2 linked regions of the Caenorhabditis elegans genome follow. The protein of the gene in region 2 interacts with the protein of the main gene of each other region in a pairwise test. Each region holds a gene or a part of one and is shown on either strand. Other genes may lie near its edges.

Region 1 (5,550 bases), on a different chromosome or scaffold from region 2:
AATTTTATAGACCAATTTTCTCGCTTTATAGCTGAGCTCCGCGAGCCAAAATAGGAAGGGGAGCACGAAAAAAAAACAGAAAAATGAGCTCGACAGAGCCCATAGCCTCAAGCGCTAACGAACCAAAAAATGCACACACACACAGGAGGCGGAGTCGTGGAAATTTCGAAAAAAAAAACAAGATTTTCTTCTCTCTCGGCTCAAATTTGAATGCGGAGCAAGAATATTACGGGAACAAAAAATTCTGAGAATGCGTACTGCACAACATATTTGACGCGCAAAATATCTCGTTGCGAAAAGCAAACTACAGTGATTCTTTAAATGACATTTGTAGTGTCGATTTACGGGATCTCGATTTTCGAAATGAATTCATTTATCATTGATCGAGCCCGTAAATCGACACACGCACTACAGTAGTAATTTAAAGGGTTACTGTAGTTTTGTTTTCGCTACGAGATATTTTGTGCGTCAAATATGTTGCCCAATACGCATTCTCAGGATTTTTTGTTAGCGTAATAAAATAACAGAAAACACAGAAAAAGGCATGAAATTTAATTTGAAATACCGCGCTGAGTTTTCTAGGCCACGTGTCGTGTACTCCCCGTGGACAAGCGGTTTTTGCCTTATTTTTCTGAAGTACAAATTCTCAAGTACAAGTAAAAAAGTACAAATTTTACCAAATTTGAGGAAAAGAACTAGCATGACAAAAATAGAATTAGAAAAATTCTAGAGAAAAACTACGGATTTCTGGCTTCCCTCATAAAATGAAATGGAAGAGTTTGCCGAACTAGGCCATTTTGGCTCAGCCATATCTGGAGTAGATTTACGGCGCGTTCCGTGTCGCGGCTCGATTTTAGTTGTAAAACTAAATGAATTTGTCCGTGTGGAGTACACGACTTTACCACGCGTTGTCCGGCAGGCGATTGTCAATGGAGCGCGAAAAATTCAATGCACCAGATTTGACGCGCAAAATTTGAATTTTCAAGTTGTAAATCCCTTTTTTCTTCCCATTGTCCCATCAAATATCCTTCTTCAAAAAAACCCCTGCGTCTCTCAGGCCATATCTGCGGTAGATTTACGGCGCGTTGCGTGTCGCGTCGCGGCTCGATTTTAGTTGTCTGGCGGGCGATTATCAATGAAGCGCGAATAAATCAATGAGGAAGGCCAGAACCCCGTGAAGATCCAAGAAAAGTTTTCTAGGCCACGTTCCGTGTACTCCACGTGGAAAATGTCCTTTCCGGCAGGAGATTGTCAATGGAGCGCGAAAAATTCAATGCACCAGATTTGACCACGCGTCGTGTACTCCACGTGGAAAATGTGGACACTAGGGATCTACTAAATGCCTGGAAAATCGTAAAAATCTCGAAACTTCCTAAAGAAAAAAAAAGCAAATACACAAAAACGCATTGATGTATGAACAAATTGCCCTCCCCGTCTCCCACCAAAAACTCCCAAAAATTGCTCTTTTTTCATGTTTATATGGGGGACCGCGGGATTTCATAATAGCTCCGTGGTCCGCTCAGCTCATCCGGAGCCAAAAAGAGCACACACACACACGCACACATAAAAGTTGTAAACTAGTTTCGAGCAAAAATGATACGACGGATGAGTGTGTCACGCAATCAGTGAGCTTCTCTCGCTTTCGAAAGAAAAATCTTTTTCGCAAAAAGAAAAAGTACTTTACACTGGCCACAGTGTAAAATAAGGGTGAAAAGATCGAAAATCGGAGGTTTCAAATTTGAATTTCCGCGCAAATGAGAGGGACGAGGTGCGATGGCCTACAAAACTCCGCAGGTGTACTCCTCTCGGAAAACGGTGCGAGAATTAATTTTTTAATTTATATTTAATTTTCAGCGATTTTTCTCAGTTTTCCGGTTAAAATTTAAATTTTTTCAGGAAAAATGATGGAATTAGAAACGGGTCAATGCACAATTATGGAATTGAAAAAAGAAAATGTGAAGGAGCTCGCGCAGGTCTTCAAAACCGTCGCTTTTAAGGATGTTAGTGTTGGAAAATATCGATATTAATTTCATTTTTTTTGAGAAAAAATCTAAATTTTTCAATTTTCCAGACAGGAACGTGGCACGCTTCCGAGGCGGGCATGAAGATCACAGTCGACGATGGATCCTATCAGCTGGCCAGCGTTTTTATCAATCCGGCGTTCTTCTCGAGTTTTAAAGTTCGCGAGGAGATAGTTTCGATGAAAATCTCGATTAAATCGATTTCTGTGAGCCTTTAAAAGCCCATAAAAGCCCAAAAAAGTGGCAAAAAACAAAAAAATTCCAGGAATTCCTGAGCATTTCGGAAAACTCGTCGAGTTCTGTAAAAGTCTCGTATCCGGGAATGTTTCAGCCTGTGAAAATGCTTGTTGAAGACGCAGACGGATGGGTGGCACGTGGCAATTTTACAACAACGCTGGCAGATCAAGTTCGCCGGGTTTTCGAAATTCCTAGATTTTTTTTTGTCTATTTTTAGGAGCTCGACTTTGAATTCGATGACGCTGGTGTGCTGGCGACCTATCTGCTTAAAACTCAAGTTCTCAAGGAGATTATCAAGGTTTTATCATTGAAACCTTTAAACATTCGAAAAAAATTTATTAAACTCCAGACATTTTCCAAAAAAAATTTTTTTTTTTGGATTTTCGAAAAAAATGTTTTTTTTTTGAAATTAAATAAAAAACTTTTTTTTTTACTTTTTTAGTGAAAAAACAAAAAAAATCGGTTTCCCTTCAGAAAAATCGGTGTTTTTCGGTTTTTTTCATATTTTAAAACATTTTCTGAATTTTTTTTTTGACTTTTTGGAAAAAAATTTTTTTTTGGATTTTTTCAAAATGAAATAAAAAACTACTCGAATGTCGCAAAAACAAAAAAATTTCTTTTTGTTCTGACAGATTAACATTTTTTGGTTTTTTTCGACTCCAAAAAAAAATTTCTGAAAAAATTAGCTTTTTTGAAAAAAAAACCATTTTTTTTTAAATTTTTTAGTCGAAAAACGAAAAAAAAAATCGGTTTCCCTTCAGAAAATTATTGTTTTTGGGTTTTTTCCCACATTTTAAAACATTTTCTGAAAAAAAACTTTTTTTCGACTTTTTTGAAAAAAAATTTTTCGGTTTTTCCGATTTTCTAATTTTTCAACAAAAAAAGACGAAAAAAACCAGAAAATTCCGAATTTTAGAGCCAAAAACGAACATTTTCCGTTTTTCAATTTTGAAAAAAAAAACGTTTTATTTTTATTTTTCGATACTTTTTTGTCGAAAAACGAAAAAAAATGTTTTCCGTTCAGAAAAATCGGTGTTTTTTGGTCTGTTTTTCATATTTTAAAACATTTTCTGAAAAAAATTTTTTTTTCGAATTTTTCATTACTTTTCAAAAAAAAAATCCGTTTTTGATTGAAAAAACCTTGATATTTTTCCGATTTTCTAATTTTTCAAAATTAAAAAAAACCAAAAAAAAAATCCGAAAATTCCGACTTTTTGAGCTAAAAACGAAAATTTTCCGTTTTCAATTTTGGAAAAAAAATTTTACTTGAAAATTCGATTTTCGCTTAAAAAGTAGTTTTTATTGTTTCAATTTTTCGAAAATAAAAAAAAATCGATTAAATTGCAGAATTTCCAACCCAAACCCAAAAAAATCGACGTCCAATACTTATGATTTGACGCGCAAATTCTAAAATTCAAATAAAAATTCTTATTTTTGCATTAAAAAAATACGAATTTTTAATTTTTTTTCTCTATTTCAGGACTTCGATGACACAAGCCGAACGGTGAGAATTCAATTCACCAAGAATTCACTGTGTTTCACGACTTTCGGTGATGTTGGCGAGACTACAGTAGGATTTTTCAAATTGAAAATTAAATAAATTTTAGGAAATTAAAAAGAAAAAAATTTTAATTTTTTAACTCAAAAAAAAAAAAAAAAAATTGTTTTGAAAAAATATTTTTTAAAAAATTAAAACCAAATTTTTTATACTTTCAGGTATCAATACCGTCTCGAAGCCTTCAAATGGAAAGTGTAAAGTGCCTTGAAGAAGTTGAATTTAGCTATCTTCTGTCGCTTATTCAACGAATGACTACCGCCTTTATACTGGCTACAAAGGTAGTTTCTGGAAAGAAATTTAGCCTATCTGCTAGATTTTTCCTAGTTAAAGTTATCATGGTTCCAGGAAAAATTCATTAAAAATATGAAAAAATTGGGGGAAAAAAAAAATTTTTTTCGAAATTTTTTGAAAAAAATCTGAAAAAATTTGTGAAAATTATTTTCACTATAATTTTTAATTTAAAAAATTGAGCCGATTTTTTTAGAAAAATAAATTTATTTGTGAAAAAATTAATTTTCCTTTCGAAAAATATTTCGATTTTTGAAAATTTTTTTAAATTTGAAAAAAAAAATTTTCATTTTTTTTTCAAAAACAGAAAAAAATTTCGAAAAAAATAAATAAAATGTCTAAAGCATTTTTAACGATTTTTCCAATTTTGCAACAAAAAATATCAACATTTTTCCGTTTTTTTCCCCGAAAAAAAACCCCAAAAACTCCAAAATTGGCCAAAAAAATCGAAAAATAAATTAAAACGTTATGCTCCAAATCAAATTTTAGTTTCAAAAATCGAGAAAAAATTAGAAAAAATGTTTTTCTTCGAAATTTTTTTTTCAATTTTCTAAAAAAAAATGTCTCGAATTTTTTGATGCAAACTTTACAATTTAAGTTTTTTCCAGCTCATCCTCCGTGTCGACGAGCGTGGCGTCCTCTCCTGTCAATTTTCAATCGATCACGGCGAGGGAAACGCAAGCTACATTGAATTTCTGACGGTGCCCGCTGATGAAGAAGAATAAAATATTATATACATTTTTAATTTTTTTTTAATGTTCGATCCCCGAGTTTTGCAACAAGTGTACCCTCATCTCCCGGGTATAAAAACCCGAAAAACTGCACCGAAACGCACGCAAAAAAAATTAATATTTTCTTCTTTTTCGTGCTTCTTGCAATTCTCGCTGTTGATTTAAATTTTCAAATAAATATTGATTTTTATTACGAATATTGCATTTTGAAATGAGAAAAATTTTTAAAAATTGGGTTTTTTTTCAGTGAGTGTCTCGTCGAATAAAATGCTCGGTACGTAGTACACCGTCACGTCAAAATACACAGAATCGTGGATTTTTTTCAAAAAAAAAACAAGGATTTCTGGCTTCCCTCATAAATTGAAATGGAAGAGTTTTTGCCGAACTAAGCCATTTTGGCTCAGCCATATCTGGGGTAGATTTACGGCGCGTTGCGTGTCGCGTCGCGGCTCGATAGTAAAACTAAATGTATTTATCCGTGTGGAGTACACGACACTTTCCCATGCGTTGCCCGTCGGGCGATTGTCAATGGAGCGCAAAAAATGCAATGAGGAAGGCCAGAACCCCCTGAAAAATCGATGTGTTTTTAGGATTTCTTCAAATTCTAATTAATTTTTAGAGTTTTTTGCCGGCAATATTATGTGGAAAATGAATGCAAAACTTCTTGTAGCCCTAAAAATCCCCAAGTTTGTGTATTTTTAAAGAAAATTAAAGT
Region 2 (4,672 bases):
AGTACAAAGTTTATTTTGAAAAAAAAGGACAAATATTTTCAAGTCAACAAGGTGTGTCTGGAACAATTCGTTTTAAAACAAAAGTTCAACCGAGGATCTATTGCAAAAACAATCCTTTTAGATACATTGCACTGGATATTTTTTGAAACGACTATTAAAATCAAATCTAAAAAGTATCTAGATGTCAAACAAAACTCCCAGAAAAACGGATGTGCGCCTTTTATACAGTAACTTCAAAAATTCATTGCAGCAGAATTTTCATCGATTTTTGTCGTGTCGAGACCCGGTACCGTACTTTTGGGACGAAACTCGCGAAATTAATCTTCTGGATAATAGTAGAAACGTATGTCGTTTTAGAAGGTTTGTTTGACATTTACATTTTTTTAAGATCTGATTTTTTAATTTTGAATCTAAAAATGAATTCATAAAGTTTACAGACTTTACAATTAAAGATTCTTTTTTTTTTTTAATTTTTTATCCTCCCCTGTCTCACTATTCTTATGTATATTGGCAAGCTAAATTCTGATTTTCAATTTATTTTATTAATGCGAAATGAAAAGATTCACAAAATTGGAAAATTACAATTTTAGACTTCAGAAAAAATAAAAAAATAAAGATAAGACAGTACAATGGAAAAATTTAGATATTTGAATTTTTGCAATTCTGCAAAACAGTCTGAGTTTTCTGATTTGATAAGAAAGTTGTTATGAACAATTTGAACAATTTTTTAAATATTTGGAGGATTCATGAGAATATTGAAATGCATATTATCGTTTGGAAAGTCCTTTTGAATTGGAATTACAGTGCTGGTTGAGAGTACAAGATGGAAGTTGAATCCTCTGTTTTTGTTATCTGAAATTGTTGATAAATATCTTTGAACCAAGGGATGATAACTCACATTCAACAATACGTTTAAGATTGTTTAGCCTCTTCCTCAACGACATCAAAATCGTCTTTCTCTTGGTCATCAGAGCTCTCAGACGAACACTCATATTCTTCAATGTCTTTGAGAATTTCAGCAAGATCACTCAAAGAATCTTCATCCGAAAAAATAGATCCGGGATAGTTGCTCTCAGCAGTTTCAACTTCAAATTCGACTTTTCTTGTAGTATCATCTTCGCTTTTCTTTCCATCTTTGACTTTATTAAAAATCGGTTCAAAACGATCCGAAAAGAAAGCCCTATTCGTTTCGAAGTTTATAGTTTCTTGCTTCATCATCTCTTCAATTTGTTCCTTTTGTTTCATGAGCGTTTCCTTTTCAACTCTGAACTTTTCCTTTTCTCTGATGAATTCTTGACGTGAAGCCGAAAGATCGAATCGAAGTTGCTTTTCGTGTTTATCGAGGCTAGATTCTGCTTTCTTGTAAAAGCGATCGCGGAAAGAAACTTTTTGAACTTTTTTACCATCAGTTGTATCTTTCAGTTTTGGATGCATTCTTTCATAAGTTTGCGGTTTCCTGCTAGACATGTGCTGAGCATACCATGGGTCCTCAATAATGTTTCGATCACTTTGTGCATTCAAATATCTCGAGACATTGTTCTTTGTTGCGATGGCTTGAGGGGTTATGCCCAATCTCCTCAAAGGAACCTGGATAGCTCTGTCACGAGAAGAAGCAATTGCTTGAACTTGACCGTTTTGATCTTTTACCTCCTCTGGGTTTTTGACAATCAAATGTTCGGGGAACAAAGTATTTTCTGACACCAATCGAATCAATGCATGCTGAGCATGAACTCCGGCAGCTTCACATGTTTCGCACAAATCGTAGTTGTAGCATATAGCACACTTGAATCGATGCCCAATAATCAAATCTTGGCACTTATCACATGAAGCCTCGTGAACTTCCTTGTTTTTGAAGGAGTTTTTGTCTTCTTTTTTGCGACACTGATTCTCAAGCTTCATTTCGGAAATATCCTTTTGAAGAGATTTGATTTCCAGTTGTTGCTTGTCTAGAAGCTCTTGAAGTGAGAGTTGTCCTTCAGCAATCTAATATAGTTTTCTTTTAGAAACAAGGGAAACGAATCAGAAAAATAATACCTCAGTATCCTTCATAACTCTCCATGCCTTGTCAGATTTCATCGTTGCCTTACATTCATTCACAGTCCGACCCAAATCATCCAACTTGGCAATTACCGAGACATCCAAGATTCTGACATGAAGAAATAGCTGAGGAAGTTGAGAATGATAAAAGCTCAATTCCGGGCGAATGTTGTTGTAGATCTCATAGCCACTGGACAGAACTACAGGGCCATCCTTGGTAACTGAAAATCATATCTGGTATAAGATGACTGACATTTTATATAGTGCCAGCTGAAACTCTATTCGTATTTCTTTTTTTGTAGTTTCTATTTAAAGTGAGCACAACTCAAATACTAGCTCATTTAGATTTGAAAATTTTCAACTAACAAAATTTTGCTCTTAACGATTTCTAAAATTATGTTATCAAACAAATTATCATAAATTCTTTGGAAAAAGTTACAGCAACCTGCGGTTGGGTTCAGATTAAATTTGATAAAACGATATATTTTCCCTATAACCTCTATTGTTCTACTTTGTTTTTTGTCAACTGTGTGTGCAACAACAATAGTTTTGAAACATCAAAAACTCAATTTTTAGACAGGTCAAATCACATCCAAATGCTTCAAAAATCTTGTCAGCCGATGTAACTTCTTTTCATAGAAAAACGGAAGCGTAGATAAAATTCAATTTTTCATAATTATAATTTTTCAGTTGATCAAATTTTGTTGGACATATTGATTATTGTGTTATACTATTTTGAACAACTCGAATAGTATCTGGAAAACCTAAAATAACCAATGAAATTCGCGCAGGCACTGTGCATCTAAATTTCATTTAAAAAAAAACTTACTGCAGCTAAACTCAAAATCAGCAGCCGAATGGATGGTGGAAGATCCCAACTCGACGAACGTTTTTCTGAGTTGATCGAGGACTTGACATTGACATGAGAGTTCCAATACAGCATTCTTGTTGATATCCTCATTGTATACACGCCAATGATAGTTAACCTTGACACGGCATGTTTTGTTATGTTCACGGCACAAAGGTATCATTGGGATGACAATTGGAAGTTATCAAGTTATACCAAGTTTCTGGAATTATTTATCGAAGTTCTAGAAATAGTTCAATATGAGAGAAAAATTAAGGAAACATTAATACATATTTTGAAACAGTGTGCAATTTCTATTTCGCATAATTTCTTTGCCTGTTTTTTAGAGAGAGGTTGCGAGTAAGATATTTATAAACCTAACAGAAAATGGCATTATAAACATTGAAGATATATATGCATAGAGGTTCTTCTGCCAAGAACGTTTGGGAAAAGAGCAAGGAGAAGTAGGAGACTCAGAGACAAAAGTGTTCCCCGCGCGGAAATGAGTGGTACCTCGAAATAGAAATCGATAAGCGTGTGCCCACTTGTCCGGGGGTACAAGGGTCAATTGGATTATGAGGTATTAAGTTTGGGCTATTATTATTAGAAATGAACCATAACTGGAGAATCTGTGGACTTTTTTTCTCCCGTAAAAAATTCCCCCATTTTTGCTGAAACGATTTTATTCAAAGTGACTCATCTTGCAAAATGACGAATCACAATTTACAATAATTTTTCGGCGACAGTTCAAAGGCACACGCTGTTTTTTGAGAGGGTCTCGCCGCGATCTCTGTTAAAATTATCGTTATAGGGGCAAATATTTACAGATTTGTTAATTTTTGGTAGAAAATGAAGTTTATAAACAACAATTTAACTTCTGTGCACAGAGAAAATCAGGATTTACCAAAAGCACCTAGTTTGGAAGGATTGACGTGAAATTCCAATCGGCCGCCTGCGCCTGCCTGCGTTTAATTTCGAAATGAACAAAGACTAAATATAAAGTGTAAAAACAGATTGCAACCTTCATTTGCCTTTTCTCCTCTCCGTCTCTTTCTCTCTCTGTTTTCGTTTCCTCTCTCCGTCTCCCAATTTTTCATTCTATTTCGGTTTTACATATGTGTATTCAAAAACGAGATAGAATTTTGGAAAAATATAAAGTAAATTTGGAGAGCGCCTAGAAACAGAGAAAACACAGAAAATCACGCGGAAAAGCTGTCGTACGCGGAAGATGTGCATGCATAATGATATCACTGAATTGGACATTTTTCGGTGTAAAATACAATTTATTTTTACAACACATACAATAAAAGGTAAAATGACCAAACAATATTGCATTTAAGAGAGAGAGTGAAAAAGGCTTGGATTTACCCAAAAATAGGGAAGAAGTACGGGATTGAAATTGAAAAAAAAGTGAGAGGACATACTTAAACACTGGATAAGAGAATAATTGTTCGTTTTTGAAAATTGCCAAGTAGAATAAAATTAAATCAAACTTTTCGCTTAGAAAAATTGGCAATTGTCAAGAACAAACAACCCTGAAGATTCGAAAATACAATGCAAACTATAATAAACAAATCATCAGGGGTGGTGGACGTTTTGGAGGCGCATCAGACCAGAGGCGCTCACGATGGAGTTTAGCCAAAGGTCGTCACAAAGCTGCCTCTACTAGCGACCACCGACGGTCCAATTTTGAAGAGAGTAGGTGATGAAATAAAATGACATTGAGATTTTAGGTTTATTTGTTTTTTTTTTTGAATTCATATTTTAAAAAAGAGATCCTAAATAAAA

What was found. The genes of interacting proteins can lie anywhere in the genome.
Region 1: the proteins of gldi-4 (region 2) and mrt-2 interact in a two-hybrid assay, tested with the Caenorhabditis elegans proteins (2 studies listed by BioGRID).

What each region holds. Positions count from the first base shown.
Region 1 is NC_003281.10:11,745,148-11,750,697, forward strand, and holds mrt-2 (Cell cycle checkpoint protein RAD1 homolog mrt-2), read left to right. Parts: upstream 1-1,618; 5' UTR 1,619-1,815; intron 1,816-1,896; 5' UTR 1,897-1,901; coding exon 1,902-2,000; intron 2,001-2,071; coding exon 2,072-2,227; intron 2,228-2,286; coding exon 2,287-2,427; intron 2,428-2,475; coding exon 2,476-2,556; intron 2,557-3,738; coding exon 3,739-3,828; intron 3,829-3,974; coding exon 3,975-4,094; intron 4,095-4,712; coding exon 4,713-4,829; 3' UTR 4,830-5,028; downstream 5,029-5,550. UniProt on the Caenorhabditis elegans protein: May be a component of the 9-1-1 cell-cycle checkpoint response complex that plays a major role in DNA repair. Promotes DNA double strand break-induced cell cycle arrest and apoptosis, thereby playing a role in genome stability.
Region 2 is NC_003282.8:7,016,061-7,020,732, reverse strand, and holds gldi-4 (ZZ-type domain-containing protein), read right to left. Parts: upstream 3,108-4,672; 5' UTR 3,069-3,107; coding exon 2,867-3,068; intron 2,259-2,866; coding exon 2,035-2,258; intron 1,984-2,034; coding exon 913-1,983; 3' UTR 899-912; intron 853-898; 3' UTR 523-852; downstream 1-522.